Linked DNA regions of Xenopus tropicalis. The protein of the gene in region 4 binds, or shares a complex with, the protein of the main gene of each other region. Links are inferred from orthologs where the notes say so. Each region holds a gene or a part of one and is shown on either strand. Other genes may lie near its edges.

What was found.
Region 1: ints6 (region 4) and ints12 share a complex: the UniProt entries of both Homo sapiens proteins name them as parts of the integrator complex. The link is inferred for Xenopus tropicalis from reciprocal best matches to the Homo sapiens genes INTS6 and INTS12.
Region 2: ints6 (region 4) and ints1 share a complex: the UniProt entries of both Homo sapiens proteins name them as parts of the integrator complex. The link is inferred for Xenopus tropicalis from reciprocal best matches to the Homo sapiens genes INTS6 and INTS1.
Region 3: ints6 (region 4) and ints7 share a complex: the UniProt entries of both Homo sapiens proteins name them as parts of the integrator complex. The link is inferred for Xenopus tropicalis from reciprocal best matches to the Homo sapiens genes INTS6 and INTS7.
Region 5: the proteins of ints6 (region 4) and ints2 are in contact, whole or in part, in a cryo-EM structure (PDB 8RBZ), measured with the Homo sapiens proteins. The link is inferred for Xenopus tropicalis from reciprocal best matches to the Homo sapiens genes INTS6 and INTS2. Residues at the interface, in NP_036273.1 of Homo sapiens: Ile484, Val486, Arg487, Ser488, Arg489, Phe527, Gln528, Val529, Ala530, Leu531, Leu532, Asn533, Phe541, Arg542, Asn543, Ala544, Tyr545, Ile547, Arg549, Leu552, Leu553, Leu556, Met559, Arg560, Asn562, Leu563, Leu564, Lys565; in NP_065799.2 of Homo sapiens: Ile855, Asp856, Pro857, Leu858, His895, Arg923, Glu925, Leu926, Lys927, Ala929, Leu930, Ala932, Ala933, Gln934, Ser936, Ala937, Gln940, Ile941, Glu944, Asn1010, Lys1013, Leu1014, Phe1017, Gln1018, Gly1019, Tyr1020, Pro1021, Ile1046, Ala1047, Gln1048.

What each region holds. Positions count from the first base shown.
Region 1 is NC_030677.2:72,492,560-72,499,125, forward strand, and holds the start of ints12 (integrator complex subunit 12), read left to right. Parts: upstream 1-2,917; 5' UTR 2,918-3,000; coding exon 3,001-3,003; exon of another isoform or gene 3,004-3,085; intron 3,086-3,194; exon of another isoform or gene 3,195-3,287; intron 3,288-3,341; exon of another isoform or gene 3,342-3,362; intron 3,363-4,486; exon of another isoform or gene 4,487-4,560; intron 4,561-4,635; exon of another isoform or gene 4,636-4,652; coding exon 4,653-4,817; intron 4,818-5,620; coding exon 5,621-5,764; intron 5,765-6,566. UniProt on the Homo sapiens protein: Component of the integrator complex, a multiprotein complex that terminates RNA polymerase II (Pol II) transcription in the promoter-proximal region of genes.
Region 2 is NC_030685.2:29,728,881-29,734,904, reverse strand, and holds part of ints1 (integrator complex subunit 1), read left to right. Parts: intron 1-267; coding exon 268-414; intron 415-2,525; coding exon 2,526-2,624; intron 2,625-2,807; coding exon 2,808-2,932; intron 2,933-3,058; coding exon 3,059-3,313; intron 3,314-4,245; coding exon 4,246-4,405; intron 4,406-6,024. UniProt on the Homo sapiens protein: Component of the integrator complex, a multiprotein complex that terminates RNA polymerase II (Pol II) transcription in the promoter-proximal region of genes.
Region 3 is NC_030681.2:14,761,897-14,767,920, forward strand, and holds part of ints7 (integrator complex subunit 7), read left to right. Parts: intron 1-610; coding exon 611-714; intron 715-1,976; coding exon 1,977-2,045; intron 2,046-3,059; coding exon 3,060-3,192; intron 3,193-6,024. UniProt on the Homo sapiens protein: Component of the integrator complex, a multiprotein complex that terminates RNA polymerase II (Pol II) transcription in the promoter-proximal region of genes.
Region 4 is NC_030678.2:149,909,127-149,915,673, reverse strand, and holds the start of ints6 (integrator complex subunit 6), read left to right. Parts: upstream 1-2,979; 5' UTR 2,980-3,391; coding exon 3,392-3,502; intron 3,503-3,708; coding exon 3,709-3,786; intron 3,787-5,801; coding exon 5,802-5,951; intron 5,952-6,547. UniProt on the Homo sapiens protein: Component of the integrator complex, a multiprotein complex that terminates RNA polymerase II (Pol II) transcription in the promoter-proximal region of genes.
Region 5 is NC_030678.2:91,784,927-91,790,950, reverse strand, and holds part of ints2 (integrator complex subunit 2), read right to left. Parts: intron 2,008-6,024; coding exon 1,869-2,007; intron 454-1,868; coding exon 351-453; intron 1-350. UniProt on the Homo sapiens protein: Component of the integrator complex, a multiprotein complex that terminates RNA polymerase II (Pol II) transcription in the promoter-proximal region of genes.

The DNA.
Region 1 (6,566 bases), on a different chromosome or scaffold from region 4:
CTACCAAAACCGGGTAGCAACCCTATCACTGTTAAAACTTGAAACTTCTTCCGACGCAGTAATGCCAAAAACCATCCCTTACTTTCAACTGCAACAGCTAAGACACTTATGCACGCTCACATCCTCTCCCATCTAGGCTACTGCAACTTGCTTCCTAACTGGCCTATCTCACACCTCTCCACACTAAAGTCTATATTTAATTCTGCAGCAACAATCCTTCCCCTATCATCTTTAAAAGAGCAGGCCGGTCAAACTTATAAGCTCAAAGACTTTCCTTTTGTTTCTTAAACACTTAGCACTTAAACTTGAATATAACTATATCTTGTATGTATTTTTTATTTTATCATTATTTTTCCATCTGTAAAGTAAATGTTCTTCAGTACAACACTGGGTTAAATAAACCCAATATGATTGTTTGGCCTCCAATAAGGATTAATTATATCTTATTTAGGATCAGGTACAAGGTACTGTCTTATAATTACAGAGGAAAAGATAATCATTTTTAAAAATTTTAATTTTCTGTTTAAAATGGAGTCTATGGGAGATGGTCTTTCTGGATAACATGTTTCTGGATAACGGTTCCCATACCTATATATACCATTATTTATATTATTAATTTCTTGTCCAACACATTTCCAAAGTGCTTTACAGATGAGAGATTCATTCACATCAGTCCCTGCACCAGTGCATCTTCCAATCTAAGGTCCCTATCACATTAACGTATATATGCTTTTTGCTCTTTTATTCATACTTAGATGAGTGGAGCACACCCGTCACCAAAATAACAGCCCTGGGTGCAGGTCAAAAAATGGACAAACAGAGAAAGAGTACTGCACGCTTTTTTGCACCAAGTCCCTGAGTGTGCGGTTCGTTCTCTCTCACTCTCTCCACACTCACTGGGACTTTGTTTAAGAAACAAAAGTTTAACTGAAAGAGATACAACATCTCGAGCACAAACAGTGCTCTCCCTCAGGGACCTGTTTGTGCTCTAACCGTTGGATCTCTTTCAATAAAACTTTTGTTTCATACATGAAAAAAATAAATAAAATAAAATATATATATATATATATACACACACACACACACACACACATATATATTTATAGGGTCCTGTGTTTAATTCCCATCTAATATTTAGAGACAGACAGATAACTTCAGAATACCTGCACTCACATATAGGATAGTTTCTAGGGTGTTTGAGAGAAAATAATAATTAGCAAACAAATAGGGTACAGCACTCATTGTTCTTGTTTAAAAAGGTTTTATTTAGCGTAAACTTTATATAATTAGAACTCTTTTTCACTATTCACAGAACCAGTGAGTGCTATGCTCTGTTTGTTTGCTAAATAATTATATGTATACATATGTTAAAATCCTATTGAAACATCACAGGTATGAAACAGGACAGGATAGTAAATCTTTTGCTAAGACTTTGTTTTATGGCCACATGTAATCCAGTTCAAAATGCCACCAACATGTTAGGCAACACTTTTCAGAGATTATATATCAATCACATCACACTCCCTGCCCCAGTGGAGCTAACAGTCTAAAGATGGCCATACACGGGAAGGTTTCACTTTGGTCAAAAAAACAATACTATCTGTAAAAATGGACCCTTTATTGGAGCTCCCTATAGATCCTCTTAAGTCCCTGTTGTATTTCAAATGAGGGGTGGGCACATCCTAACAATGCCTGCCAGAAGCACAGTAGGAGGGGGATAGCCAATCACAGCCCTGCTGTCACACAAGCAAAGACAGGCTTCAGTTCCCTATCAGGTCAGCCTAGCTGCCGATTGGTTTCTATCCTACAGTGCAGCCGGTTCCCCTGCATAGCCTAGGAAAGAAGGCAGTAGAAAGTGGGACAGATGGGCTAGATTAGTGGGGTATTTGGAGAAAATTTAAAAAAATCAGCCTGAAACACAACTTTTTAAAGGAAATTCCTTCTACAATTCATTTGCACAATATTTTTTTCACACAATATTTCACGTTTACACTGCTGCTCTGGCCCCTTCAGAAGAAAGTTAGCCGCTTATCTACCTGTGTATGTGACCTCTCCAACTTCCTCCCCAATAGATAACCTGGCTAAAAATCCAAGTCCAGATATCTATTGGGCAGGTTTAAAAATCTCATTGTAGCAAGTACTGCATAGGCTCAGTTATGCTTTCCTGTCAACTGCATGTACTAGGGGCCATTTCAGTCAACACAAAATGGCCAGTGTCAGACTGGGCCGCCGGGGCACTGGGAAAAACCTGGTGGGCCCCAGTGGCCCGAACCCGATCCCCGCACACCACTCCTGTAGGTCCATAGGTCTCCATCCCTTGACGCACTGAAGGTAAGTGTCACTTATGCACGATCGGGGGAGGGGGTTGGACAGGTGGTGGGGGCCCCTGCGGGGATGGTGTGAAGGCAGGTGCATGGGCTCCTGAAGCAGTAGCCCCGGTGGGCCCTGCTCCCTGCTCCCCCCAGTCCGACCATATCAGGAAAATGTGTAAGGCCACTTTAAGTCATTAAGCTTACTAAAACATTTTTTCATACACCAGTTATCCTGTTTGTATGTTTTTGGGGTGCAGGAGGAAACAAACATAAAAACACCTTTGCAGACAGTACTTGAAAGCCCTGTCTAAGTTACTTCATATAAAATGCTTACTGTAAGTGAGTACACCTGTCACTCTCAGCGGTTCTGTTAGTCCTATATTAATTGCCACAGATGTAACACAGAGGCAAAACACCATTGTGGGCTAAACTAGAACTAACACAAAGCCCAACTTATTAAGTACTACACCTCCCCGAATTCCTTTATGGCAGTACACTGTAAAGGCTGTTGGGAATTTAACGCAAGAAGAACCGAACCTGAGGCCGGGCAAAGTAAGAGCAAGTTGCGCAGTAGAACCCAGATGGAGAATGTTTCAAGCTCCCATGTGCAGTGACCTAGGGAAGGACCCATAGCAACTGTGCAACCCCCCACACCGGGTACCTTTATCCTGCTGTTCTCTCGTGCCTGATGGTGACTGATTTTTTTTTTATTATTATTATTATTAAGGTCGGGGTAAAAAAAAGTTAAAAACCCAAAGTGCAACGGAGAGTCGCTCCCGAACACAGCCAGAAGGAAAATCTTTTACTGTTCCGTTACGAACAGGAACGCTTGAGCGCTGGCTGCGGGGAGCAGTATTGCTGAGGGACCTCCCACACCCGGAAGTAGCGGCGCAGTGCGAATAGAATCCTAAACCAAAGCACGGGATTTTGAATATTTCCATTGTAAGCAGTTCTATTAGGGCTTTGTCTGCTGAAGTAAGTAGTGATGGCAGTATCGCTGTACAGTATAAGGCAGGAGAATCTTCTAACCTGTGGCTTCTATAGTTCCCAGACTGAAGCAGCCTGAGCATCATTGGTGTTAAGAATATACTCTACTGGCCTGGCCCCACACTCTAACATGGGGGAATGAATTAAAAGATGCAGTTTGCCGCTGGCGTAGTAACCCTTAGCATCCCAAAGGGGGGGCCAACGTTGCTGGTGATATGTTTAAAAATAATATGGGCTAGTAAACCTGGGCTAAACTTTGCGTGTCACAATGTTGATAGACAAGTAAAGAGGAAGTAGACTGGGTAAAGCAAATTGCATGACAGTTTTTGCCCCACTCAACTCTTTTCATGTTACATAATGTTTATATATAACGTGTTATGTTGTACATACTACTGTGAAACCCAGATACTGTAGATATTGTAACTGTAGAGTAACTGGGCCATTGACTGGTAAGCAGTTTCATGAAAAATTTCTTTTTTTCCTGTCCTTATTTCATCCTGATTCCAAGCATTTGAGGGGAAGTTTGCCTTTTCAATAAATATAATGTGATGTTTTTCTGCTGGTCTTCATTTTTTGTGTTAGCTTTACATTTTCAAAAGACCATAAGGCACAAGTATATAGTGAACCAAGCATTCATATTGTATTTGTGATACCCTCTTTTTTCCAGCATTAGTTCATTTAATAGGGTTTGTGCCTGTTGTTGCAATTAATTGTGTTATTGTCGCTGTTACAAAATAGACAACACTGAAAATTGTCTCTGTGTGTGTTTTAGCAGAGATAGTTTTCGGTATTGTCTATGGCAGGGTATTTTCTGGTGTTTTGTAGCTTGCTACAAGTAGCTCCACGTCAGAGCCCTAAATAAGGTAGAGTAGGTAACTTCCATAACTATTTTATTTTAGCTTGCATTTCACTTTGTCACCCCTGGTTACATCTTTGGAAATAAAGTGAATCACCAGTGGAAAGGCATACCTGTTGCTTAATTTTCGAACTTGCGCAAAGTTTCCTCCTGCAGGCAACTTCGCATGACTTCATCACGTATGCCTTCCCGCCAGTGATTCACTTTATTGGCGGTGGAAAGGCATTTCGGTGGAGATTAGTCGCCCCTGGAGCCGAGGTTGCGGGCGACTAATCTCCCATGAGCAGTCACCATTACCTGAATTAAGATGATCGTTTCTACTATTATTTAGAGCCATGTTCAAGGATTAAATGTCTCTCGTATCTCTGATGAGTTGGATAATATAAACACTATTTACTTTTCAAGGTATGTTTATTGCTGTTCTAACATTTTACCATAAAAGAACAAATAATTGATACATTTATTTTTTTTTGTAAATAGCCTTATTTTCATTGCAGGTTATAACCATGGCAGTCACTATAAATACTGAGTTGGATCCTGTCTTTTTGAAGGCACTTGGATACCTCCACTCAAAGAGCAAGGACTCTGCTGAAAAACTGAAGGCATTGCTAGATGAGTCACTGTGCAAAGGCAACGACTCTGTCTACCGTCCTCAACCGAAGGTTTAATAATTAATAATTATTTAATATTTTAAAAACAAGAATACATTTGCTTGTAATAGCGTATTGTATATAGTTCTCTAAATGTTGTGACAGTTTATGTAGGTAAAATTTGCTTCAAAGGAAAAGAAATGCCAACACCCCACCCCTCAATGTGTTTATTGGGGAATGGAGTAATTTGCAAATGGTTCTATCCCACTCAGCAAAATTGTACTTTGTAGTTTGCATAGCAAATAAGATATGTGTTGAATTGTGCTCCCTGACTAAAAAATAAGCAACATTAAAACATTTGTGCAAGGAAGTATGTATTGCTGTAGAAGAATTACATAACCCTCCCATTTTTAAGGTTCTCGGTAATAACCCGGAAGAACTGTTGTTGAGGTTAAAGTATAGACTCAAACACCTTGCATCTAAATTTGGGTAAACGTACAAACATAGGTGCAGCTTTGCACCATTGCAGTAATCTATACCAAAATTCCAAAGTTTGCCACCTGTGTTTTTGATATAGTTCCAGGAGGCTTGTCATAATCCAACAATAATATTGTTGGCAATAACCAGTCAGCATATGGAGTATGAAAGCTTGACATATGAAAACATATAGCATATCTCTTTCTTGCTTGCCCTCTTTTTGAATTAAGTTATTTTTAAAGTAATGAAAATTAATCTTTAGTTTATAATTTCTGCAGGATGATTAAGTCGTAAAGAATATTGTTCCACACTTAATGTGTATCTGAAAAATATACCTAAGAAAAGTATGTATGTGAATCTTTTGCTGCTTTTCTTAAAGTAATGTGTTTCTGTTTAAGGAAATGGAGCAGCCCAAAGCAATGTTATCTAAAGTTAAGCCTGAAACAAAGGCCTCTAGCAGCACTCCATCAAGCAGTATGCTAAGCAAACCACTGACTTCAGAGAAGTTAAAGAAGGAGGCTGAGAAGAGATCTGCTGATAAGGTAAAAAGACAAACTCAAAAACTTTGTGTTCGTCTGTGCAATGACTTAAGGTGCGGTCCCCGATTCGACTGAATTTTCTAACCTGCCCGATCGATATCTGCCCATTTTCAGGCCAGATATCTGTCGGGCAGGCCCCTCGTTTCTGCCCCTACATGGGCCGATAAGCTGCTGAATCGGTCCAAGGGACCAATATCGGCAGCTACTATCGGCCCGTGTATGGGGACCTTAAAAGTGAGTGTTTTATTGTGAGTGAATGTCTTCATTTCTTTGTTTCTTCCAAACTTGAGTTTTTAGCCATTTCGATTCAGTACTGCCTGATCTGTCAAAACTGCATTAGTGCTGTGTTTTATGCATATACACATATATTCTGCAGGTTCTGCAGCTTTTAGGTGTCAAACTTTTTCTAATTCAAGAAAGACCGCTAGGGGAAAAATGCCTCGGCTAAAGAGTTTTTTTCCCACGAAACCCCCCTTGAGTTCCTTAACTCGTGGGGTTTCCTTTGTGATTACACGAGGTAAAAGGCTCAAGCAGTCATAAATCGGCCCCTAATTGTTGAGGTCTGTGGCAAACAAGGCGTTTCCTCACTATCAAATTGTGAGATCACCATTGTTTACTTTCCATTGATATCAATGCAATGCACATAAAGTAGATCTGGCTCATATGTCATAACAACAGATGTGCAAGGGTTAATTTTGGTGGCTTCTTATTACTCAACAAGAAGCCGTGCCCCCTGTTTGTGTCATTGATGAGAAACTTTTTGTGCCAGGCTGACTGTGCTTTTTTCTTATTTATAGCTCTTTAC
Region 2 (6,024 bases), on a different chromosome or scaffold from region 4:
CATCACGTGAAAACGAGGTTTAAATCAAGGAGAAATAACTTTTGTCCTAATTCAGTCCACTTTTGGAAGGCTGTGGCTACTGTAATGGTGGTGTAAGGAAAGGTATCCTGGCTATGCATTTGTTTAATATCCTGTTGGCATAAACTATAGCATACTTATTTGGACTTAGTGTGTGTGTGAAAATAGACATCATCAAAAAGTGCATATCTATGTTGGAATGGTGAGGTTGTGTTATATTATCCATTATTTGATTTTGTATGATTTTAGCATTACATGATTTGGAGCCCCAGCAACTGTTGCTGTTTGTACAGTCATTTGGAATTCCAGTATCCAGCATGAGTAAACTTCTTCAGTATCTTGACCAGGCTGTGTCCCAAGAACCTCAAGCCTTAGAGCAAAACATCATGGACAAAAGTGAGTAGAGGAGATTGCAGTGGTTGATACCAGCAGGGTTCCCCCCTTCTATTCTTCTTTCTCTGCTTCTCCTTCTTTAACAATGCACCCATGGTACAGAAATGTATGTGAAAGAGTTGAGAACTATAATAAAAAAAAAGTAGAAGAGAGTGGTGATGCATGGTAGTTACTGGGAATAAGTAAACATGTCTGTCTGCTGGGAGAGTGCATTAACACCTTTAGATTGTAAAGCTCTTTTGGGTAAGGTCTTCTTTACCTCTTGTATTGGGTATTGGTTGTTTTTGTATGTTTTTTTTGTATGCTTAATGGTTCCCCCCATAACCCACCCTGCATGAATACAGTATTGTATTATACGACGTACAAACGGCCTATCTGTAGTATGCTAGCAATTTAATTTACATTTTATGTTTAAAGGAACAGTAACACCAAAAAATTTGAAGTGTTTTAAAGTAATTAAATATAATGTACTGTTGCCCTCTGCTGGTAAAAGTTGTGTGTTCTCCTTTTTTCCAGTTGAATGGCTGCCCCAATAGCTCGCAGCAGCTATATTTATATAAACTATAGCATAGTTTCTGTAGCAAACACACAGCTTTTGCTAGTGCAGCGCAGTTGTGCATAGTATATTACTTTGATTTTTTTGGTGTTACTGTTCCTTTAAACACCTAAACTTTATTTCCAGATTTGTTTTACTGGTATGTGATCAAACTTAAAGGAAACAGGAAAAAATTTGCTTAGCTTCACCAGCTAATTAAAGTGATAGTGACATGCTCCTTATATATGTGGAAAATAATATACTCAAGATGTTATATGCTGTATCAGTGGTATGAAGCCGACTTAATGGATATGCAACAGACTGTTGCAAAGAATCTGGCTTGTTTATAACATAGCTGCCTTATTACTCTATACAGGTAGAAAATCTCACTGCCTTCACTTACATAAGGTGTTGACATCTTTCCCTGGGAACTGTTTGAATTAAAATTGTATCAAATATTGAAGAGGAATGGTTCTTTTTCTATTCCATATGTTTTGCTGTTTATTTGTTGTACAATCCTCATCTGACTGTACAACTGCCAATTTATGCGTCATTTTAGTGATTGCTCATATGAGCAAAGGTCTAATTACCTATAGCAACCAATCAGCAGGTAACGTTTTTAGGTCACCTTCCTAAATGCAAGCATCTTACTGGATGCTTTAGGTTACTCTGCATGGGAATACTTTGTGCCTTTTAAATATAGGGGCAACGTCCCTATGAAATGCACACTATGGTCAGTTTTATCTGGAGCCAGTTAACCTACTTGTATGTTTTTTGATTTCTCGGAGGAAACCCATGGAACACAATTTTTTATGGATCTAAACATTTAGCTATTCAATTCTCATTTAAGTTCTAAAGTTGAATATGGCTTAAGCCCTGTATTAAAAAAAAAATAAAAATGCCCCACCCTACATCAAAGCCACTATCTCGGCATGTTCTCCAAACTCAACGGAATTGTTCCTCCAGTGGTTATATACTTTCCTTCTCTCTAGTAAATTGCTCACATACACACTTATAGGACGTTACTAAAGTACTAATGAGTTAAAGATAATTTTTTAAATCATAATCTTAGCACCTCTTTTTCTTATTGTATATATGTGAAATATATTGCAAGGATATAAATGTGAAAATAGCTAGAAATCCCCTTAAAGGGACACAAACACTCAACACACATGAGTGTGTCCTGATGACGATCCTATATGGATTGAAACGCGTAGACTTTTTTGTTTAATAAATTATTTTATTTTTTTATATTGGTCCGTGAGTGCTTTCTTGGAGAAGGTGCATGAATATAGGGTTAGCACCCGGACAGTGGCTATTATTTTGGTGAGTGCCGATATCTGGACTATATTTTTGTTGTGACTTGCCATAATGTTAGTTAAGTAGCGCAAAGGAAAACTCTTTACCACCACCGTTTAAAAATAAAAACAAAGAAATTGGTAATATAGAAATTGCTGTATATCTCTTAGTGTTGCATTTCATTTATTTATTATTGCCTCTCCAAGTCCAGCTTTTGGCATTGTGTCACTGTAGAAAATATTCCCCATGAGAATAAGGAATTCATGTGCTTCGTTTCTAGATTACATGGCTCACCTTGTTGAAGTTCAGCATGAAAGAGGAGCTACAGGGGGCCAGACCTTCCATTCTCTGCTGACAGCATCTATTCCCCCCAGGCGTGGTATGTCCGTTTATTTTCCTGCTGCTTAATGTATATTTAATTGTATAATTACATAAGGTTTGTGAGACTGCAATACTAGCCAGGACTGTTGTCAGTCACAGAATTTGTATTTATTTTACTAATTATAGACTGCAAATATATGGTATCTGAAAGATTTCCATCTTTCCAATCTGTGTCTTACAGACAGCACTGAGTTGATTAAGAGAAAAGCCAGCACTGAAACTCCCCAGGGGCAAGTACGGGCTAGAGCTGTGACCCAGATACCTGTCTTGGGCCCAGAAGATGATTTGGCTGGGATGTTTCTACAGGTAAATCAATACGTTTAAGGTCTTAAATTTTATTTATTCCCAGTAAAATTGCAGTTATCTGTGGATTATTTTTTTATCAAAGAACTCTATAAATTTAAAGATTTTTTTTTTTTTTTTTAAATAAAGCTTTTCCCCTTAAATCCGGATCCAAGATGGCAGAACTTCAATCCACGTCCTATTTCCCTCGCCTTACAGCAAGCCTTGGGGCAAGAGTTGGCCCGAATCCGACAGGGAAACACCCAGTTAACAGGGATTGCAGTGCGTCTGCTCCAGGCAGTGGGTGCGCTGTTAAACTCTCCCCACAGTGGAGCCCTGGTCCTAGCTATGCACAGAAATCATTTCATCGCTTGTCCATTAATGAGACTACTCTATCAATACCAGGTATGTAATGCATTCTCACTGGTCTGAACAGCTACAGTGGAAACCTGGATTATAGTGAGCGCTATAAATGAGGTTTGTCCACTGACAGCCCTGAAAGTACCCACTGCATTTGCGACAATTAAGGGTATTGTGTTTTTGTGTCTTCTAAAACTAGATATGCTTTAGGACTCGTTCAAGTTGAGACAAGGGGTATGCCAGGTCTTGGAGATACTGGCAACATGTCAGCAGCATGATCCACTAGTTCTAGTTTCGGTCATTGCTGATGCTGCATATGGACTTGCAGCGACTGGCTTAAATGCTTGATATCTTAGTGCAGTGATCCCCAACCAGTGGCTCGGTGGATTTTTTACCAAATAAAGCCTCCTGTAAGCTGATAGTGTGCATAGAGGCTGCCTAATAGCCCTTAGCCCTTATTTGGCACCTCCATGAACTTGTATGGTGCTTGTGTTGCTCTCTTTTTACATTTGACTGTGGCTCACGAGTAAGAAAGGTTGGGAAACCCTGTCTTAGTGCAATCTACTCCTCTTTGTTGTTGTCTCCTCTCCTGTTATGTTTTCCAACCCATCAGTCCGCAGGCAGAACAGACAAAGACCATACGAAGGGCGACTCCTCATATTGTCACCATTCTGTTGTTCTGATAATTCATGCTTATATTCTTAGAATATAAGAAAGGGAACAGCAGGAGCTGAAGAGGAGCTCTGTGGCTCTTTATCACTTCCTTTTCTGCCAGTGCACCACGTCAGATGACATTTGCAAACGCAGTACATGGATATTGGTTAGGATTGTCAGACCAGCATGCACACATTGATAATTATACCTTACAATCTTATCTGTGCACATATCGCCACTGATAGAAAAGTTGCACAAGAATAAAAATTTGAGCATTATGTTTTGGCTACCACCAAAAATAATCCTATATCTTTTCTGTTTAGCGCTCTGTCCCTCAGGATACAGCTTTCTCTTCTCTCTTCTTCAAAGTCCTCATGCAGATGTTACAATGGCTGGACAGCCCTGGGGTTGAAGAGGGTCCTCTTCGTGCACAACTTAAATCATTTGCAGCTTTGTATTCCTCAAAACATCGCATCAGTGATGGTATGATTTGCACACTGCTAAGAGCAGCACTAGCTGTGATTTTATTGAATTAACTACTGGCTCGTTATTTGCATGTACCACTTCTGTCAGGCAGTGAACATCCCTGGTTGTTTATGATTCTGTTCAGCTTCCTTGCTCAGTGGTTTTGCTACCATGAAGTTAATGACTCAAAGTGGTAATGTGGCCTTGTTTTCTGCAGTGGAAATATTGGGAGTGAATGCATATTTAATTTCTCTTTCTAATGTTGTAAAGGAGAAATATACTTGTGTTCTACAAATACTTAACCCGATTTGTTGGAAACAGATTCTTTAAGGGCAATTACATTGTTTAATTGTTTAGTTTAGTATTTGTTTTTTTATAACGAGGAAAATACAATATCACGACAAAGCTCAGTCATATTGTCTCTTTTATTAATTTCCGTTTATATATCTCCAATGGAAATATTTAGAATTTGAATCTCAAATTTATTCCTTTTATGAAGTTTACTATTTTCAGTCATTGTCACAGGTTGGGTTTAAAGGGCTTGGTAACCTTCAAACTAACTTTTAGAGTAATGTAGACAATGATATTCTGAGACTGCTTTTGATTCTGCAATTGTTTTTCATTTTTATTATGGTTTTCCAGCTCTTTGGCATTTTGTTCAGTAGCTCCCCAGTTTGAAATTTTAGCAGCTATCTGGTTGCTAGGGTCGTGTTTACCTTAGCAACCAGGCAACAGTTATGAACGAGAGACTGAATTATGAATAGAAGGGGGCCTATACAGAAAGATAAAGCAATAAAAAGTAACAATAACCGTAAACAAAAAAAAGCGGTATAAGCTCACAGAGCAATATTTTTTTTAGCTGCCGGGGTCAGTGGAAAGATGTAGAAGAGAAATGCAAATTATTTAAAAAAATATATAACAAAAAAGACCAATTGCAAGGTTTTAAGAAAAAAGACATTCTATAACATATTAAAAGTTAACTTAATGGCTAATCCGGCTGTAGCCTTCACCTGAACCTAAATTTGGCATAGCATGTAGCCCGAGTGATTCGGTATTTCCTTGTGCTAAGCACAATCAACCAAAGATATTTTTAGGAGTCACACTTTTAATTTTAGTTTTGCACATTTCATAAATATAATACCAATGCAATTTGTAATTACAATTGGAATACATTTTCCCTTTAAATGTCAAATGTAATGTTTTTTATATTCTCCTAATAATGCCAAAGTACTAATTATGTGGGTAAACCCACATGGCTTTAGTAGTAGTTTTTAGTACAGGTATTGGACCCGTTATCCAGAATTCTCGGGACCTGGGGTTTTCTGGATAAGGGGTCTTTCTGGAATTCGAATCTCCTACCTTAAGTCTGCTAAAAAAAAAAATTATTTAAACTCTAATTTAACCCAATAGGATTGTTTTGCCTCCAATAAGGATTCTTTATATCTTAGATTGGATCAAGTTCAAGGTCCTGTTTCATTATTAAAGAAAAAAAGGAAATTATTTTGAAAAAATTGAATGATTGGCTTATAATGGAGTCTATGGGAGAGGGCATTTCTGTAATTTGGAGCTTTCTGAATAATGGGTTTCTGGATAAGAGGTCCGATATCTGTACTGATAAACAGACGGTCAAATTTCAT
Region 3 (6,024 bases), on a different chromosome or scaffold from region 4:
AAGGACCTAGTTCCAGAACCCATAGGTAATGAAAGGGAGATGGCAAGTAGGGTTTAAAGTGAAACGGACTGGAGTATAGAAGTAAAATGTTACATAAGTGCCATTATATTAGACCTGTGTTGTTATTATTGTTTGGATATATGTTTTAGAATTATTAGGCTGTATCTGCTCTATTAAACTAGCAGTTCTGGATGCATAGTTGGGGAATAAAAGAGTCATTTGCGTGTCTCTGCCTATAAAAATGAAAATTAAAGGCTCTCATTTCAAGCATGTGAATACCTTCTGTTTTCAGAAGTATATACACTGCACTATTCCAATAGGGCTCATTGGCTCCCTTCTCACCATAACCACTATGGTTCTTTTTCTTTGCTATATGAGGCTACCAGGTTGCCTCAGCCTATTACATTGTGCTTAAAAATTAAATATTCAGTTTAATATGTGACCATGTTATCCCCTTGTTAGCCTGTTTGTTTCACCCTTTATGTGAAATTGGGGTGCAGTCCTGCAGGCCCCCAAATGGTACAGTACTATGACTCCCCCCCCACTTACTGCCATAGGTTGTCCATCTTTGCTCTGAATAAAGTGCTTAAATCATGTTTTCCTCTGGCAGATGAAGCATTGCATGGAAGAATTCAAAAGCCTCGCTGCTCGCTATGGGGACTTGTATCAATCTTCGTTTGATGCCGATTCTGCAACTTTGAGAAATATAGAGTTGTATCCTTTAGTATGATCTTGACTTGCTAATATCCAACAGAATAATACACGAGAGAGCAGAGAGGGATTTTTTTTAATGAACATATGGGCAGATATTTGGGCACATTTATTAACCATTCATTGTGTAAATTTACTTCAAACACTTTTTTAAAAAAGGTCAGTCTGTCTGTCTAATCTTATATATCTATATATCTACATCTACACCTCTCAATCTGTTTATTGTTTCTGTATATAGGAGTACAGTACAGCAACCCATTGCCTTAGGGCGAAGACACACTGGGCTACTAATAGCAGCTACTTGTCATGGCTACTAAACGCCAGAAATACCCTGCCCTAAGGGTGAAGACACACTGGGCTACTAGTAGCAGCTACTTGTCTCTGCTACTAAAAAATAAAATGCTGATCATTTACCGATAATTGTCTTGTGTGTTTTAGCAGAGACAATTCTTAGTATTGTCTTTGGAGGGGTATTTTCTGGAGTTCAGTAGCCTTGAAAAAGTAACTGCTACTAGTAGCCCAGTGTGTCTTCACCCTAAGGCAGGGGTGGCCAATACGTCGATCGCTGTCAACCAGTCGATCCCCCGTGGATTTCTGGTGGACCACAATCAAGCCTGCGATTCAGAAGTGCTGCGTGAATGCGTACGTACGCTGTGTCGCGTACGTACACATTCACGCTGCACTTCCGCGTCAGTCTGGTCGATCACGACTGGACCGAGTCTGGCCACCCCTGCCCTAAGGGCAGTGAAAGACTTTTTGCCGAAGTCGCCTGAAGTTTCCTCTCAAGGTGACAAATTGCATATGCCATCCCACCGGCAATTTACATTCTTGCCGGTGGGATAGTATTGCAGGGAGATTCTCCCTGTCTGTCACTGCCTTTAAAAGGGAAAATCTAAGCCAAGGGTTCCTAAATAATGGTACTGGCTCTTATGGTGGAGCCCAATGCATCAGATATGGTTGGTGCAACCTAAAGGTTTAGAGTGAGATTTGAGTGAATGCCCATTTTGTGCCCTGGATAGGCCAAGCAGTTGCAGAGTGAATGTTATAATGATTAAGCACTGAACCTAAAGGAGATCCTTAAGAAATGGAAAGGGGATGGCTGATCTAATGCTGGGGCTGTTTAAAGGGCCAATAACATCAGAAAGAGAAAGTGTCAAAGGATTTGCGTATAACGTTCAGACTAGCACAATTTTGGGCAGTTTAGCATGGTACCATGTGCTGCTTGAACATAAACGGTATTTCATATTCCTTAATTAAAGAATCAGACAGCAGCAGAGCTGCCTTTTAATTTCACATGCCATCGAAGCACTCATTTTGGATCCAGACTCGTGTAGGTAAGGATAATGGTTGAGATCTGTACTATCATGTCCTGATGAAAAGTATAACATTTGCACAAGTATGTGTGTCCCTCTGATTCAGTTACTGCCAGGCTCCCCAATATTTTCAGTGTAGTGAGCTGTTTACCTGATGCACCGCTTGCTTGAGGCTTTGTTTTATTAAGATGCTGTCACACAGTTATACTTGTTATGATTATTATGGGGTACTTTTTATTTCTAAATTACACTGTTTACATTGCAAATAATTCACTCTACCATTTAAAATGTTATTCTTGAACCAAAAAATGTATTTGTAGCTGTAATATTGGTGTGTAGGCGCCATCTCAGTGCATTGTGCCTGAGTCTGAGCTTTCAGCCAGCGCTACACATTAGAACTGCTTTCAGCTAACCTATTGTTTCTCCTACTCCCATGTAACTGGAGGAGTCCCAAGCCGGACTTGGATTTCTTACTATTGAGTGCTATTCTGATACCTACTGGGAGCTGCTATCTTGCTCCCTTCCCATTGTTCTGCTGATCGGCTGCTGGGGGGGGGGGGGGGAATCACTCCAACTTGCAACGTAGCAGTAAAGTGTGACTGAAGTTTATCAGAGCACAGGTCACATGACTGGAACCCTGGGAAATGAAGAAAATGGCTAGCCCCACGTGAAGTTTCAAAATTAAATATAAAAAAATTTGTTTGCTCTTTTGAAAAACAGATTACAATGCAGGATTCTGCTGGAGAAGCTCCATTATTCTTTAAAGTGATTGCCTGGTACCTGGCCTTGACCTTCTATAGCTGAGACATTACACCATGTTGGCAGTGACAGACCTTGGCGTCTTTGCCCTAATCCTGGGCTTTCACACTGTAGGCTCAGGCCAGATGTCTCTCCCCAAGTGATTTTTCTTACCTTCCTGGCTGAGGAACTGCAGCCTTATTTGTGGGACATGATTATGTTGGTATAATGTGGCCAGTGATAAACATCCCAGTCTCCAGTGCAGAGGGTTTTATTGCTTTTTTTCCCCCCGGGCAGTTTCCAGGAGTGCAGCTTCAGTGGGGCAGTACAGGCCGACAGTGAGTACGAGCGCCGGATGATGTCGGTATTTAACCATGTTCTAGAGGAAGTGAAACTGCTTGGTAGAAAGTACCCGCCAGTGTCTTACCTGGTAAGTGGCACATATCTCGATTAAAATTTATTTTGAATTAATTCAGGTTGAATTAGGACAGAAGTGTGGGTAAAGAAGATGATTCCCAAAACCAAGAACCTATTGCCACTCCTGCAATAGTCCGTTTCTCAGCAAACAACCTTTTCTAAAGCAGCCATACATGTACAGATTTTCGGACCATGTGTGGGCTCCAAATTAACGTCCCGATAATTATCATACCGTGGCAATCGCCCATTTAGTCGACTGGACAGATTAACATTTTGGAACATGTATTGAATATCCGACGATATCCTTGGGGGCCCTACAATGGGAGTCACTCTCATACGATTGGTGCTGCCAACTATTTCATGTTCAGAACATCCTCCCATTTGTTATTTTTATGACTTTATCTTACAAATTTCAGTCTGAGTGTTAGTTTTAGATTGTTGCATTTAAACCTACAACCAATATCTGAAGACTAAAATCTGATGTATGGCCAGCCTTACTCTGCTGCTATAATACATGTATCTTACCTGTACCCTTAAGGTGCCCATACACGGGCCGATTCTAGCTGCCGATAACGGTCCCTTAGACCAACTCTACCGCTTATCGGCCCATGTATGGGCACTAACGGCGGGCCTGCTGACCGATATCTGGCCTGAAATTGGCCAGATATCGATTGGGCAGGTTTAAAAATTTAGTCAGATTGGGGACCGCATCAGCTTGTTGAACCGACTGCGCCTATACCCGTCGTTCTAATTCGATTGTTTGGCTCCAGGGCCAAATGACCGAATTAGCCTGAATTAGCCCGATATCGCCCACCCGTAGGTGGGGATATTGAGAGAAGATCCCCTCGCTTGGCAACCTCGCCAAGTGAGCGGACCTTAGTGTGTGTGGCCACCTTTACGCAGCCCGGTGCTAGCAGTGCCAGAACCAGTGTAAGGATCTCCTATAAACCAACAGCAAACCCTTCTTTTAGTACAAAGAAATGGGTTCCTCCCCATGTGAATATATAAAATGCTTTGCTCTTTAGTATGTTGCCTTGCTAAAGGATTCACACCCTTGCCCAATACTCCAAGTAACCCATCCTACGTGCAAATGTCATATTTATATTTGAGATCACTTCCGTGTGATGTTATTTTGTGCAAAATAAGCAAAAATCAGCAGAATAAAATGACAAAAACGTGCTTTTTGTCTAATTATCAAACACGTACCCTTTTGTAGAAGTAAGACAGCTGTAAGGCAGTGACGCACTAGGCCAGGGGTAGGGAACCTATGGCTCGGGAGCCAAATGTGGCTCTTTTGATGGCTGCATCTGGCTCACTGCCAAATCTTTAATTAAAAAAAAAAAAGCCTTAGAACATGTCTTCTATCCGCCGAGCGCAGGCCACGCCCTACTCCTCATCCGGCGTCCTTACCGGGTTGCACTTGAACCAGGGCCCAGGGAACTGAGAGGGACATTGGAGCAGAAACCTGTGACAGTTCACACTTGAATTGAAAATAAAATGTGGCCAATATGTCTCTGTTGGGGCTACAAAGAGAAGCAAACTGTGCACTGTGCTAGGTAGCGCTCTAGTTATACCACTAACAAGCCATATTAAACAGCTAAAGGTGACACCCACCCTACCTTGCCCCGCAGCATCCGCGGCCGAACGGGCCTGAAGTCGCATCGTCCTCCACAGGCAGCCACAAATCGAGGCCCCGGCTTCTGCCTAGCTCCTGTCGGCCATTGTATGGCTCTCACAGAATTACATTTTAAAATATGTGGTGTTTATGGCTCCCTCAGCCAAAAAGGTTCCCGACCCCTGCACTAGGCGATAGCCAGCTGTTCGCCATCCATATGTTTTCAGTTTGCCATGTAGCAAAGCAGTCCCACTTGCCCTTTATTGACCTAAATGGTAATTGCTTGGGTGCTGCTGGGACACTCACAGGTCCGGTGCTCCCTGGCATATTTAAATGGATAGTTTGCTTACCTGCCAGTCCAGATGATACCATTTAGGTCAATGGAGGGATAAATATTTTTGCCAAGCTGGAAATTGCTATTCCCTAAGACTTTTGGGGGTAAGTATGAACCAGCTTTGCACACAGTTCAGAAGTGATTTTGGCCCAACGCCTCCAAATTTGTTCCAGGTTATTCAGTCATCATCATCATCATTTATTTATATAGCCCCAGCAAATTACGCAGCACTTCACAATACATTTAAACAAGTTTTAAACAAAAGTTTTACAAACAAGGGTATACAGAGTAACAATAGGATCAGAGGGCCCTGCTCGCAAGAGCTTACAATCTACAGTCAAAGCCCCTTCATTTTAAAATAGTGCTACAAAGTTTATATTTAGGGCATTGACTGGGCACATTCAGCCTTTTTGTTCTTGAGCCTCCCCATTGTTACTTTAGCTCCGTGTTTGCCATTATTGGCCACTGCTGAAAGAGTCCCTTTGAATGAGTAGCCCAATTTAGCAGCAGAGGGGCTGCATTAAAGTGGCCATTGGCCTCTCTGTGGCTTCCTTGGCAGGGAGTTTTCATAAAGAACCTTTTCTTGGCAGTGTATGTGTTACTGTACTAATGTCCTGCTAACTAAACCCAGAGTGGCCAACAAGGCATCCAAACACAGGGGCATTGTATGTGTTTTATTTGCTCTTTATTAGTTTCCTACAGCTTCACAGCCTGGATTCTCATCCAGAGCAGGATCTGTCCACAAAATGGCAGTTATTTTAATGAGTCACTGGTAGGGGCCAAATGTAAGGCAATAATATCTGTTTGGCCAGTTAAGAGCCAGGAGCAAATATTTGTCCAAACAGCAAATGACTGCACTGTGGCAGCTCCTACTCCTAAATAGATTGGAACGAGCA
Region 4 (6,547 bases):
TGCTGTGTGTGCCATACTCTGCCTGCCCTATGCTGCCTGTGTGTGCCATACTCTTCCTGCCCTATGGTGCCCATGTGCCATTTTCTGCCTGCCCTATGCTGCCCATGTGCCATTTTCTGCCTGCCCTATGCTGTGTGTGCCATACTCTGCCTGCCCTATGCTGCCTGTGTGTGCCATACTCTGCCTGACCTATGCTGCCTTTGTGTGCCATACTCTGCCTGCCCTATGCTGCCTGTGAGAGGTAAACCTGGCAGGGGCTTGTTATGGAAGTTTGTTAGCATTTGTAAATAGTCATTATATGGTTCTTATAGTGTGTAATTATATGCTGGGGTTGCTATGCTATCCACAGGGGAGGAGGAGGCATATGGATTTCAGGGTGTCTTAATATTACATAATATAATTCTTTCACATATGAATGAAGGGTGATATCCCTACAGTGAGCACCAACCATTTGGGTTTTTGCTGTGCTACCACCATTAATGTTAGTATGGTCTTAAAAGCTCTTGTGATAATGTGTGTGGTTTGAAGTAGATGTTGTTTAAAAAACAGGAGTGGTTAAAACTAGCTTCCATTATCGGTCCTTCACCATGTAGGCCAGAAAAATTCCGGCCCTCGGTACCACAGAAGTTGGACAGCACTGCCCTACACCATTGAGGGCAGACGCACACGCAGCAGAGAACTTTTTGGGAGATTTCTGTACTTTTCTGGACCTGTGATGTTTACAGAATTGGAGCATGATAAACTCTATGGGGGGGTCCAAGGTCCTGGAGAGATTAGTGATAAACTCTTTGGTTGGGGGGGGGGGGTTCCCACAGCGCACATTTCATATTCTCTGCAGGGGGAACCTTTCTAAAGCAATGATATATTTTACCTATAGCTGCAATGGAATAAGTAGCTGCTGCATAATTGAGGCTAATCATTTTCCTAGGTGGCAGCTCAGTGCACTATTCTTTGTCACTCTGCCAAGAGACTGACAAGCTCTTCTACCACTTTAGATTCAGGGAGATTACAGAGGCAGCTACAGGTAAAACGTAGGTATAAAGCAAGTTAGAGAATTCTTCATCAGTATGTAAATTCTATTTTTCATTAAAACTAGGGACACGCTGCTTGTGTCTATTATATTGTTATTCAGACCATTTATGCAGCGTTTGAAAACAGTGGGCCTGCCCAACCTGGAATCCAATTAGGCTGAGGGTGAATGCTAGGATATCCTTGGAACTACAGGAGACTTTTGTGGCCATGTTTTTTTAATATCAGTAGTCTTGTTATGAAATCAAAATGCTTGAACTCCAAAATTAAGGCCTCTACTTTGCAGCCTTACAAAATAAGACAGATGCTACAAATTTGCTTCAAAGTCTTTCAATGATGACATTGCAAACCCAGTCTTACATGCAGGGTCATACCTAGACATTTTTCAACCCCGTGGACTTTTTTTGTTGTTGTTGTTGTTGTAAGGGCCCCCTCAAGTATGGCAACAGGACATGCCATGAAACTGCACACGTCAGGGTCCCCTGCACTTGTGGGGCTATTGTTACCCCCCTGCGTAGATATAACCTCATCAGACTTGCAAGGAACACTTGCACTGCTCAGGAGGCCCCTCAGGCGAAGACTTGTATAAAGCGCATTAGATAATGGGAAAGGCTTCTAGATGACAGAGTGCCTGGTGTGCAAGGGTAAGCGCATGTGACCTGCCCGAGAGAAGTTTACTCTCCCCTGCTGCATAATGGGACTGTAGCTCCTCCATTTGTATCCCAGCTGCACAGCCAGTCTGTGCCCTGCTCATAGCCCTCAGCTAAGCCCACCTCACACACAGGCCATGCCTTGTTTATATTTGTTATTTGATATCTGCTCACTAGGGACTTACTGGGTCACCCAGGGACTGCCACACGATGGGGCTTGTTATAGTCTTCCCTGCCATATAGGATATACAGGTATAGGACCCATTATCCAGAATGCTCGGGACCAAGGGTATTCCGGATAAGGGGTCTTTCTGTAATTTGGATCTCCATACCTTAAGTCTACTAAAAAATCAATAAACCATTAATTAAACCCAATAGGATTGTTTTACATCCAATAAGGATTATTTATATCTTAGTTGGGATCAATTACAAGGCACTGTTTTATTATTACAGAGAAAAGGGAAATTAGTATTAAAATTCTGAATTATTTGATTAAAATGGAGTCTACGGGAGACTTTCTGGATAATGGGTTTCCGGATAAGGGATCCTATACCTGTACAGATATAACATTAGATCAACAACAAACGCCCCAGCCTTTATATACTGAGAATACCGGGACTCGCAGTCCAACTGTGAAGACGGGCCTGAGGAAAGCGCTGTACTCCGCAGTTAAACTACATTTCCCAGCATTCCCAGTCGCGCAAGCATTTTCGAGCAGCGCTCAAGAAACAGGCCATGGGGAAAAACGACAGTCGCCAGAAGAACGCCGGAACTGAACGTATAAAACCAATATGGGCTGGTCAGAAATAAACGTATGTACACTAGAGGATATAAAGATAAAGCGAATGAGGAGTTTAACTACAAGCACGTAAATAAAAAGCATTAATTTCCTTCATCTGAACCCGCATCCACCATGCCCTCGGCTGCTCTGCTGACGACTGAGGAAAAAACACAGCGACGACGCCCGTTATACACAAGGCAAAGCGCGCCGCACAAAACCCGCGTACGTACGCGCGTCCCGCATTTCCCCGCCCACTTCCATGAACGCGCATGACACCTCCCGTTGCCGCGCTCTTTCCTTTTTAACCCAACTCCTCCCGCGGAGACTCGCTTTCCCCATGATCTCAGCCACCGATAGGGTTAATGAATGCGCGTAACACAATCCCTTCATGAATATACATGAGCCGAAGCACATGCTGTCCAATAAGGCACGCCTGTCCCGCGTCACATGGGACTCTGACGTAACGGCATTAGGAGCCGTCGAACCCCTCCTCCTCGCTTTAAAAGCTCCGAGTGCGAAAGGAAGCGTTCAGTAGAGGGAGACAGAGCTTGTGGCAGGGGGAAGTAGTGCTGAACTCATTCAAACTTCTGTCACATCCACGGGGGGCATAAACAATCCAACTTAGCCAAGCCAGCTTCCCTTCCAGCCAGAAACATGATATAATACAGAAGAATTTCTCAGAAGGGTCCCAAACTGCAAAAAACCCATCCCCATCAATAATAGCCCCTTAAAGAACCTTCCCCTTTTGGAACTGAAGGCCACGACCCGTCATACAAAGAGGATATGGGGCTGTGGGCAGCCAGCTAGCAGACTCAGGGACACTCCGCTGCTGTTTCCCCCACACCCTGCTTAGCCCCCTTGTGTTTCCCGTGCTGGGCGAATGGAACTGCCCATGTAGCAGCTCCTCGCCTGTACCAGCAGCGGCAGCACTATGCCCATTTTACTTTTTCTGCTAGATACGTCCGCTTCAATGAACCAGCGCACCCACCTGGGCACTACCTACCTGGACATAGCTAAAGGCGCAGTAGAGACTTTCATGAAGGTATAGTAGTACCCCCCTCCCAGTGAGCAGCTGCAGCAGCCAGGGTGCCAGCACCACTACCCCCCTGTTCCATTAGGGTTACCCCCAACTCAGGGGGCGCTTGTAAGCTGCCTACTTAACGCTCTCCCCCCTTCCTCTGATCTTCTATCTGCCTCTGTCCTTCCCTCCTACTGACCCCATCTGCTCCTCTCTGTCTTGTTTCTCAGCTCAGATCCCGAGATCCTGCTAGCAGAGGAGACAGGTACATGCTGGTCACCCTGGAAGAGCCTCCTTATGGGATCAAGGTAATCATAAATATAATCAGCATCATGTAGCAGGCACCACTGCTCCCCCTCCCTCTGTGTGCCATGTCTGTGTCAGCCTTGCTGGCATGTATCCCTTTAACAGCCACCACACGCACTCACACACACACACATATCCAGTAGCTGACAGAAACATGGCCGACATCCCCCACTCCTCCCCCTCGTAACCCAGCGCAGCCGCAAGGAACTGTGGGAGATCGAGACTCAAGTTAAAAGTGACATCCCCAAGGGGAACTTCGCAGATCACGATAGGGGCCCTGGAGTGTCAGGGCTGCTGTTTGTGAGAGACTATTGTGGGCCCTAGTGACTCTCCTGATAAAAACAATGTATTTTCATTAGTGTCTCACTTATATCTGCCTATTGCAAAGTGGGGAAGGTCTCAGCACAATAACAGCTAATAAGTTTTGCATGTGTGTAAAATATTATCATTAAGTCCCTGCTTAATCTTCATCTGTTTTTCATTTTTTTCTTATTATCAAAGCAATATACAATTACACATAGGAATATAAAATTATATTTGTTGTATGCATTTTTAGAATGATACATAATTTTAACACGTGTGCATATGTATATATTTTATATTTATACAATATAAACACACACATACTAACAAGGGATGTCCAACCTTCAATCCTTAACCTCCCAGCACCCAGTGTCTGAAAAGCTGATGGGAATGATCATTTTAGAACAGTTAAATGTCCACCAGACTTGGGGGCTGCAGGGAGTTACCATATGAGAACAGTTAAATGTCCACCAGACTTGGGGGCTGCAGGGAGTTACCATATGAAAACAGTTAAGTGTCCACCAAACAAATTCCCAGTCATTAGTTCTCACTGTCACGTGAGAGCCAAATTATTGTCAAGGAACCCCATTTGTAGTTCAGCAGCTGGCGGGCTGTAGGTTGCACACCTGGAGTATTTGTAATGCAGTTAAATGCACACTGAGTATATTTCTTTATTAAAAACACTAAGATAATATTAAAGGCATTTTGGCGGCAACTGTTTATTATTTTTGTATGGATTGTAAGTTTTTGAGGGTAGACTTTTGTGTTATACTTTCTTTCTGCTCTTAGCATTAATGTTCGTGCTCGACAGTCATGTTTGCTGCTATCCTATTATACGGCACTTCATTCATTTGCTGTCACTTTATTATTATTAGTATTGATGAGCATAGTCCTATTGTTTGATTTATTATGCTGTTCTGGTTTTTGCAGTCACAATACCTGCATCTGTTCTTTTACTGTGTGTTACCGTTTCTGGCATTTTCTTATTTTTATGTGAACAACACATTTTATTTTAGTTGCATTTTGCCAGAGGCATGAACTAGCTTGTGTGATTATCCACTCTTAGTTCTGTACCAGTACGTTCTTAAATAACCAGCCTTTGTCCACTTGCATGACCTAGCATAAATCAGCATTTCTCAGACTGTTAATTGAACCCCTTCCCCATGGGATTTTTTACATTGATATGGGTGCCAAATATATTTTGTTTTTTTATCTAGAAATGAGAATGTTTTTATATGTTGCTTATACTACCATTACAATATAAGTAAGTAAGTAGAGTTTTATTGTCATCCCAACAATATACTTACAAGTACACAGTGGAATGAAATATTGTCCTCCTGAATCAAAAAGGGTGCAATATATAACTATAATAATAGAAAATAAAATAAAAAAATTAAAAATTTAATTTAAAAAAATAAATAAATAAATATATATTTAATATATATTTTTTTAAAGGGATTTTTCACCCAACCCTGGATGCATGCACATCCATTAAAGAGCACTGGGGATAGGACCTACAGAAGTTTTCTGCACATCCTGTCCCCAGTGCTCCCTATGTGAGCAAAGTTTTTAAGGGGCATATTTATCAAAGTGTGAAATTAGAGTTCACCACAGCAAACATTTAACTGCTATTAAGTTCAGTTTTTGTCTTTATTTATAAGCTGAAAATGTTATGTTTAAGAATCTGACATATACCTGTTCTATTTGCTTACAGGCTGGATGGAAAGAAAATCATGCAACCTTTATGAATGAACTGAAAAACCTTCAGGCTGTAGGACTCACCACTCTCGGTCAATCCCTAAGGACAGCGTTTGACTTGTTAAATTTAAATAGATTAGTAACTGGCATAGACAATTATGGGCAGGTAGGTTAAAATTTGCAAGAATAAACTGATGTACTCCCAGAAAATATACAGTTTTCTAGAAAAATTTTTAACTTGAATTTGTAAAAGGCAAATGTAATTAAAATGGTGAGGTTAAAGGGGAAATATGGGTGAAATTTACAGCAAGTAAAAATAAATTATAATGTCAAATTAGTGTTTAACGCTAATACTTCTATCTTTAATTTTATCTCCCCCCATTCCTATTTCCATTTAAGTCAATTGCCTTTTGCTGAACAGTGCTAGCGTGGCTATTTGCATGCTGTGGGTGGGAATTGCTGTTGAACAGAATACAATTATTCCTGAGCTTCCCATGGCAGTTTACATGTATTTCTACTGCTCTTTCAGGGCAGGCATAAATCTACTTGCCATCCATGACCTGGTTAATAGCTCCATACCTGGATCCTTCTTCTTGTCCACTTATATGCTTAAGCTGGTTTAGCGCAAGTACTGTAATCAGGCCTGGACTGTGAGTCAAAATGGGCCCTGGCATTTTAATTACAGAGGCCCATATAGCTTTCTCACCAGCCCACTAAATAGTGACTGTTTATGGCAGGGGTTGCCAGACTTTTTCATTCAGC
Region 5 (6,024 bases), about 58 Mb from region 4:
CACCAGGGGATGAAGCACGCCATGTGTCAGTACACTGTTTGCTGTTTTGATTGCCTGAAATTTGACATCTATTTGCAAAAAATATTTAAGTCTAGTGCTGCAGTAAGCACCTCAGGGCCCCCCTTTGAATTGGTTGATTGGTGCATGTACATATTTATCATGCGTAGATCACAGAAGAAAGGGGGTACATCACAGCCCCATCTCCCTTCTAAATCTAGGTGCAAGTATCCAGCTGCAAACTGGACCAATATTATTTTATTTTTCCATTTAGCCAATCAAAGACAGCAGCTGTTGTCCTAGGTTCACACCCTTTGCCGCCTATATGGTAAATTCAACCCTTCTAGTAGTACCTGCTTGTAAAATGCAGAGAACATCTGCAGCTTCCTCCATGTGTACAGGGCTTTCAAAGAGTTCAGATGATTTCAGAAAGAACTCACCACTTGAATCAGCTACCTTAAAAGAAAAAAAATGAAACAAAATGAACTACTTGGGCCCACCTAAGATGGCAACATTACCATGTTTGAGTTGCAGCAGTTGTAATTCTATTATTAAAGGTAGGCATGTCACCCATACTTTGAAAGGGAACAAAATACCAATAAGCAATTCTGTGTTTGTGGTGTAAAGACTTAAATGCCCATGCGGTAAAATGTATGTGGGACAAACCATAAGGAAAATGAGAACTAGGATTGGGGAACACAGGAGATGAAAAAACAATGTAAAAACTCATACACCAGTCAGTAAACACTTTTTTGAAACATGTAAAAGTGCAAGTCTCAGGTGGCTGGTATTAGAACAATAAAATCACCAACCCGTGGAGGAAACAGAAAGAAGCTGTTACTACAATGTGAAGTCAAATAGGTAGACAGGCTCATTACATTTAAACTGTTTGGATTAAATGATGCACTCATAAATGCTTTTTGTGAACTATTCAAATTGTCTTTGCTTTTTCACAATGAACTTATGATGGCATGGACTTTATGGGTAGGAGACAGTTACCTGCTTTTTATTTATTAATTGTATTTGCTACTTTATAAATACTATGGCTTTGTATTGTAACACTTGTGATCAGGTTGTGTGAGTTTGTGTGTATTATCGGAGTAAGCCAGTAGATGGCAGTACCGTGTAAGTAGAATTTGATGTATGTAATTTAGTGTGTCTGGCCACATAATGGAGCTGACACGTTGGTTTTTGAGGGTTTTAAAAGGTCACTTGGGTTATGCACATTCTTGTATAACACCTGATGAAGGATCAATGAATCCAAAACCTGTTGTGTGGTATAAAATAAAACTACAAATGACTGATTGGCACAGTTCCCCAGAGTATTTTGTTGCTGATTTGTAAAGTCTGGATAGCGTGACCGTGCCTATACTCTGCATGAAGAAATTATATATTAAAAGCAATGGGATAAAACTTTATCCACTATCTTATTGTGATATGTATAACACAACTAGTGAACTTTATTTATATTTATTAAGGTTTACTGCAAATATGATATAAACAAACCTAAATATAGGATTGCAACCTAGACCAGTATGTCCGTACAACCTCTGTGATATTTCTATCCCACCCTTCCACCCACTCCCCTAAGGCTCCACTAACATATTTTGATTACATAATTATATACCTCCCAATGGCCAATTTTTGCTGGACAGTCCTACATTGCAGCCCTGAAAAATTAGCTTTGTTGGAAAGTGTGCAGGTGGGGATCTGTCACTGTGTACAAGGGCATGGTCAAGGCGGGATTCAACCTCTGGTCGGTTGGTATATTGAATATTTGTCACACTATGTGACACAGGTTGAAAAATATTGTTCTATACAATTACAAAATATCAATGGTCATAAGACACATAAGTTCCAGCAAAACTTACCTTATTTATTATAGCCAACAGTTCACTTAACACTAGGCGTAATCTGCGAGGAGAATCGCTGTGCTCAAACTCCAGCGTTAATCCATGCTGCAGCTGTGATACCAAGATACTCTCCCCACTGCCTCCTCCTAGTTTGTGTCTAGGCAATAAACGTAAAAAGGCAAGGGGTTAAACACTTCAGGCTACAGTTTGCTGTTCTGTTGGTTATCATTTCTGCAACTAAAATATATTATTTTAAAATAAGCTGTTCAGCTGTTAACTGGGTTGCTCAGGCTTAGGCTAATGCCACACGGGCATATTCTCACCAAGCCGAAAAGCACTTGCCGAGAATACACCCCAGTACTGTAGATTCTGACAAATGCAAAAGTACAGAAATTACAAACACGTACAAGATTATGCTTATAAAATGCACATCAGTCGTGCAAACAAATCAGCCCACCCTTCCAAACCCAGAGCCCTTGACAAAGCTCCTCGTGAAGGGGCGAAACGCGCGTCGGGCTTGTAGGGGGGTGGAACGGGTGTTGATGCGGGGCTCTGGGTTTGGAAGGGTGGGCCGATTTGTTTGCATGACTGATGTGCATTTTATAAGCGGGGGTGCCTCAATGTAAAAAACGGGAGGTCTGGCTGCAACATTGAGCTACCTGTACTCAATTTATGGTGGGGTGTTGGGTACAGAAAACGGCTGAATTCCAGCCTATAGCTGAAAGAGTCCTGTACTTTAACACAGCTATGACGGGGTCTGAATCCCCTACCCTGTCTCAGCAGTTAATATAGCACATAAAGGAAACTGGACTCGAGTTCTCCTTGTTTCGCAACAATTTTGCAACAATTGTTGCCGGTGTTTTTTTGCAATCTCTCCTTGGCTGCCTCTATAGGGCTGTGGATTTGTGGAGAGTGTTTGATACAATAGTTATTTTTTAAGCAGTAACAATTTAGTGAATTGAATGAGGCAGGTTAACTCTGAGCAGCCCTATAATACCTCATAGTTTGTACCTTAATTGAATATCACCCCAGGCGATTTTTAATGGGGATTATTCTAAGACATACTTCACCTTTTTAATTTTTACCAATAAAGGTTAAGTTTTAATGTCCTACAACACCTGATCAAGTGAATTACCCGATTATAATTTTTACCTCTTTTCTCTTTCTTTGGGGTTAACGGTGCAATAATTCTGAAGTCTAGACTTTTTTTCTGTATAATTTTACTTCAGTTGCACGTTACCTCAGTGTTCTCACTCCATTTCATACAACCTCAAGATAGGAGTGTAGATGGCTATAATTTGAAGGTGTATAGTTAGTGAGGACGGTGCTAGCTCTCTCCATTCCTATATTTTCTAAACTTTGCACAGTCAGTCACTGGGTGACTACGCATTCAGGTTTTTTAAAAAAAAATAAATAAAAAAAACCCTGCAAAGTGGGAGGGGCCAACAGCAGCCAATCATATTGTACCCATTGACTTTTATGGGGAAATTGAAACTGCTGCCAAACTTACAGCTTTGAGGCTACACTCCCCAAACTTGAATCACATAGTCATGGGGTCAGCCTGAATGAAAATATAATGATTGTTGGATGCCCAAAAGTGGGCGGAGATGTGAACAGCCAATCAGATTTTACCTATTGACTTGGCAGAAATCCAACCTGCTGCCAGTCTCACAGTAATAACCCCAGGGTCCCCAAACTTTGCAGGGTTAGGCACCAGGTAACTGTGGTTCAAGGTAAGAAAAAGTGGGCGGAGCCACCAACAGGCAATCAGAGTTTACCTATTGACTTTCAATGGGGAAATCCAACCTGCTGCCATTCTCACAGTACTAACACCAGGGTCCCCAAACTTTTCACAGTTGGTCACTAGGGGACTAGTGACCAACAACCAATCAGATTTCACCTATTGATTTTTATTGGTTTGTTGCCAGGCTTCCCAAACTTTGCATAGTCAGACACTGGGTGACTACGCATTTAAGGTTTTTTGTATTTTTGTAAGTGGGTGGAGCCACCAACAGCCAATCAGATTTTACCTATTGACTCTAAATGGGGAAATTCAACCTGCTGCCTGTTTTGAAAAAGTGGACGGGGATTTCACCTATTGAATTTTATTGGTTTGATGCCAGAGTTTGCAAACTTTGAACAGTCAGTCACTGCATGACTTTGTACCCAAGGTAAAAAAAAAATGTGAGCGGGCCGCCAAAAGCCAATCACATTTCTTTCATTGTTTTCAGTGGGAAAATTTTAACTGCTGCCATTCTCACATGTTTAATGTCAGGGTCCCCAAACTTTGCACAGTTTGTCACTAGGTGACTATGTTCCAAGTTTAGAAAAGTGGGTGGGGCCAACAAGAACCAATCAGATTTCACCTATAGACTTCATATGTTTAAATTTAAACTGCAGCCATTCTTTAAATATTAATACTAAGGTCTCCAAACTTTGCAGAGCTAGTCACCTGGTAACTGCAGTTCAGTTAGAAAAAGTGGGTGGAGCCAACAACAGCCAATCAGATTTTACCGATTGATTTTCAATGGGAAATTCAACCTGCTGCCATTCTCACAGTATTAACACCAGGGTCACTAGGGAACTGCATTTTTAGGTTTTAAAAAGTGGGTGGAGCCACCAACAGCCAATCAGACTTCACCTATTGAATTTTTTTGGTTTATATTTAAAATGTTGCTTTGCTCACACTATTTATGTCAGGGTTCCCAAACAAGTGGGAGGAGCCACCAACAGCCAATCCATTTCCACCCATTGGTTTATATTTAAACTGATGCCATTATTTAAATATTAATTCCAGGGTTGTTAAAGTTTCCAGAGTTAGTCACTGGGTATTTGTCATTCAAAGTTAGAAAAAAGTGGGCGGAGCCACCAACAGCCAATAACATTTCACCTATTTACTTTCAATGGTGAAGTGTAAAATACTGTCAGCCTCACAATGAATGCCTGAGTCCCCAAAATTTGCAAAGTTGGTCACTGGGGGACTGCAGTTCAAAAATAGGAAAAGTAGGTTGGGCCACTAACAGCCAATCCGATTTCATCCATTGAATTTTATTGGTTTAAATTTAAAATGCTGTCATTCTCAAACTATTTATGCCAGGGTGCCCACTGTTTGTCACTGGGTGACTTCGACTCAAGGTTAGAAAAAGTGGGCGGAACCACCAATCACAATTCACCTATTGACTTTAATGGGGAAATTGAAACTGCTGCCAATCTTACAGCTTTGAGGTTACACTCCCCAAACATGAATCACATAGTCATGGGGTCAGCCTGAATGAAAATATGATGATTGCTGGATTCCCAAAAGTGGGCGAAGCTGTGAACAGCCAATCAGATTTTACCTATTCAAATTGCTGCCATTCTCACAGTATTAACACCAGGGCCCCCAAACTTTTTACACTTGGTCACTAGGGGTGCGCAGTTTTAGTTTTGAAAAGTGGGCAGAGCCACCAACAGCCAATCACAATTCACCTATTTACTTTCAATTGTGAAGTGTAAAATGCTGCCAGTCTCACAATTTTTTTGCCTGAGTCCCAAAACTTTGAAAGGTTGGTCACTGAGGAACTGCAGTTGAAAAATAGGAAAAGTGGGTTGGGCCACTAACAGCCAATCAGATTTCATCCATTGAATATTATTGGTTTAAATTTAAAATGCTGTCATTCTCACACTATTTATGCCAGGGTGCCCACTGTTTGTCACTGGGTGACTTCGACTCAAGGTTAGAAAAAGTGGGCACACCCACCAACCACCAATTGGTTTTTGTTGGTTTAAATTTTAACTGCTGCCGTTCTTTAACTATTAATCCTAGGGTCCCTAAACTTTGCAGAGTTAGTCACTCGGTAATTGCAGTTTCAGGTTAGAAAAAGGGGGTGGAGCCACCAACCGCCGATCAGATATCACTTGTTGACTTTCAGTGGGGAAATTTAAATTGCTGCCATTCAGACACTATTAAAACCAGGGTCCCCAAACTTTGGACAGTGGTTTTTACTATATAACTGTGGTCCAAGGTCAGAGAAAGTGGGCAGAGCCCATTCAGTGACTTCATGTTTTTCAACCCAACATGAAGTTTGTTCTCAAACTTCCCTTTCTAGTTTCTCATACTATGGCAACTAACAAACTGAATCACACAAACTTTGAATATATTTGCACTGGATTCTTGGATGTTTGGTGTACTCTG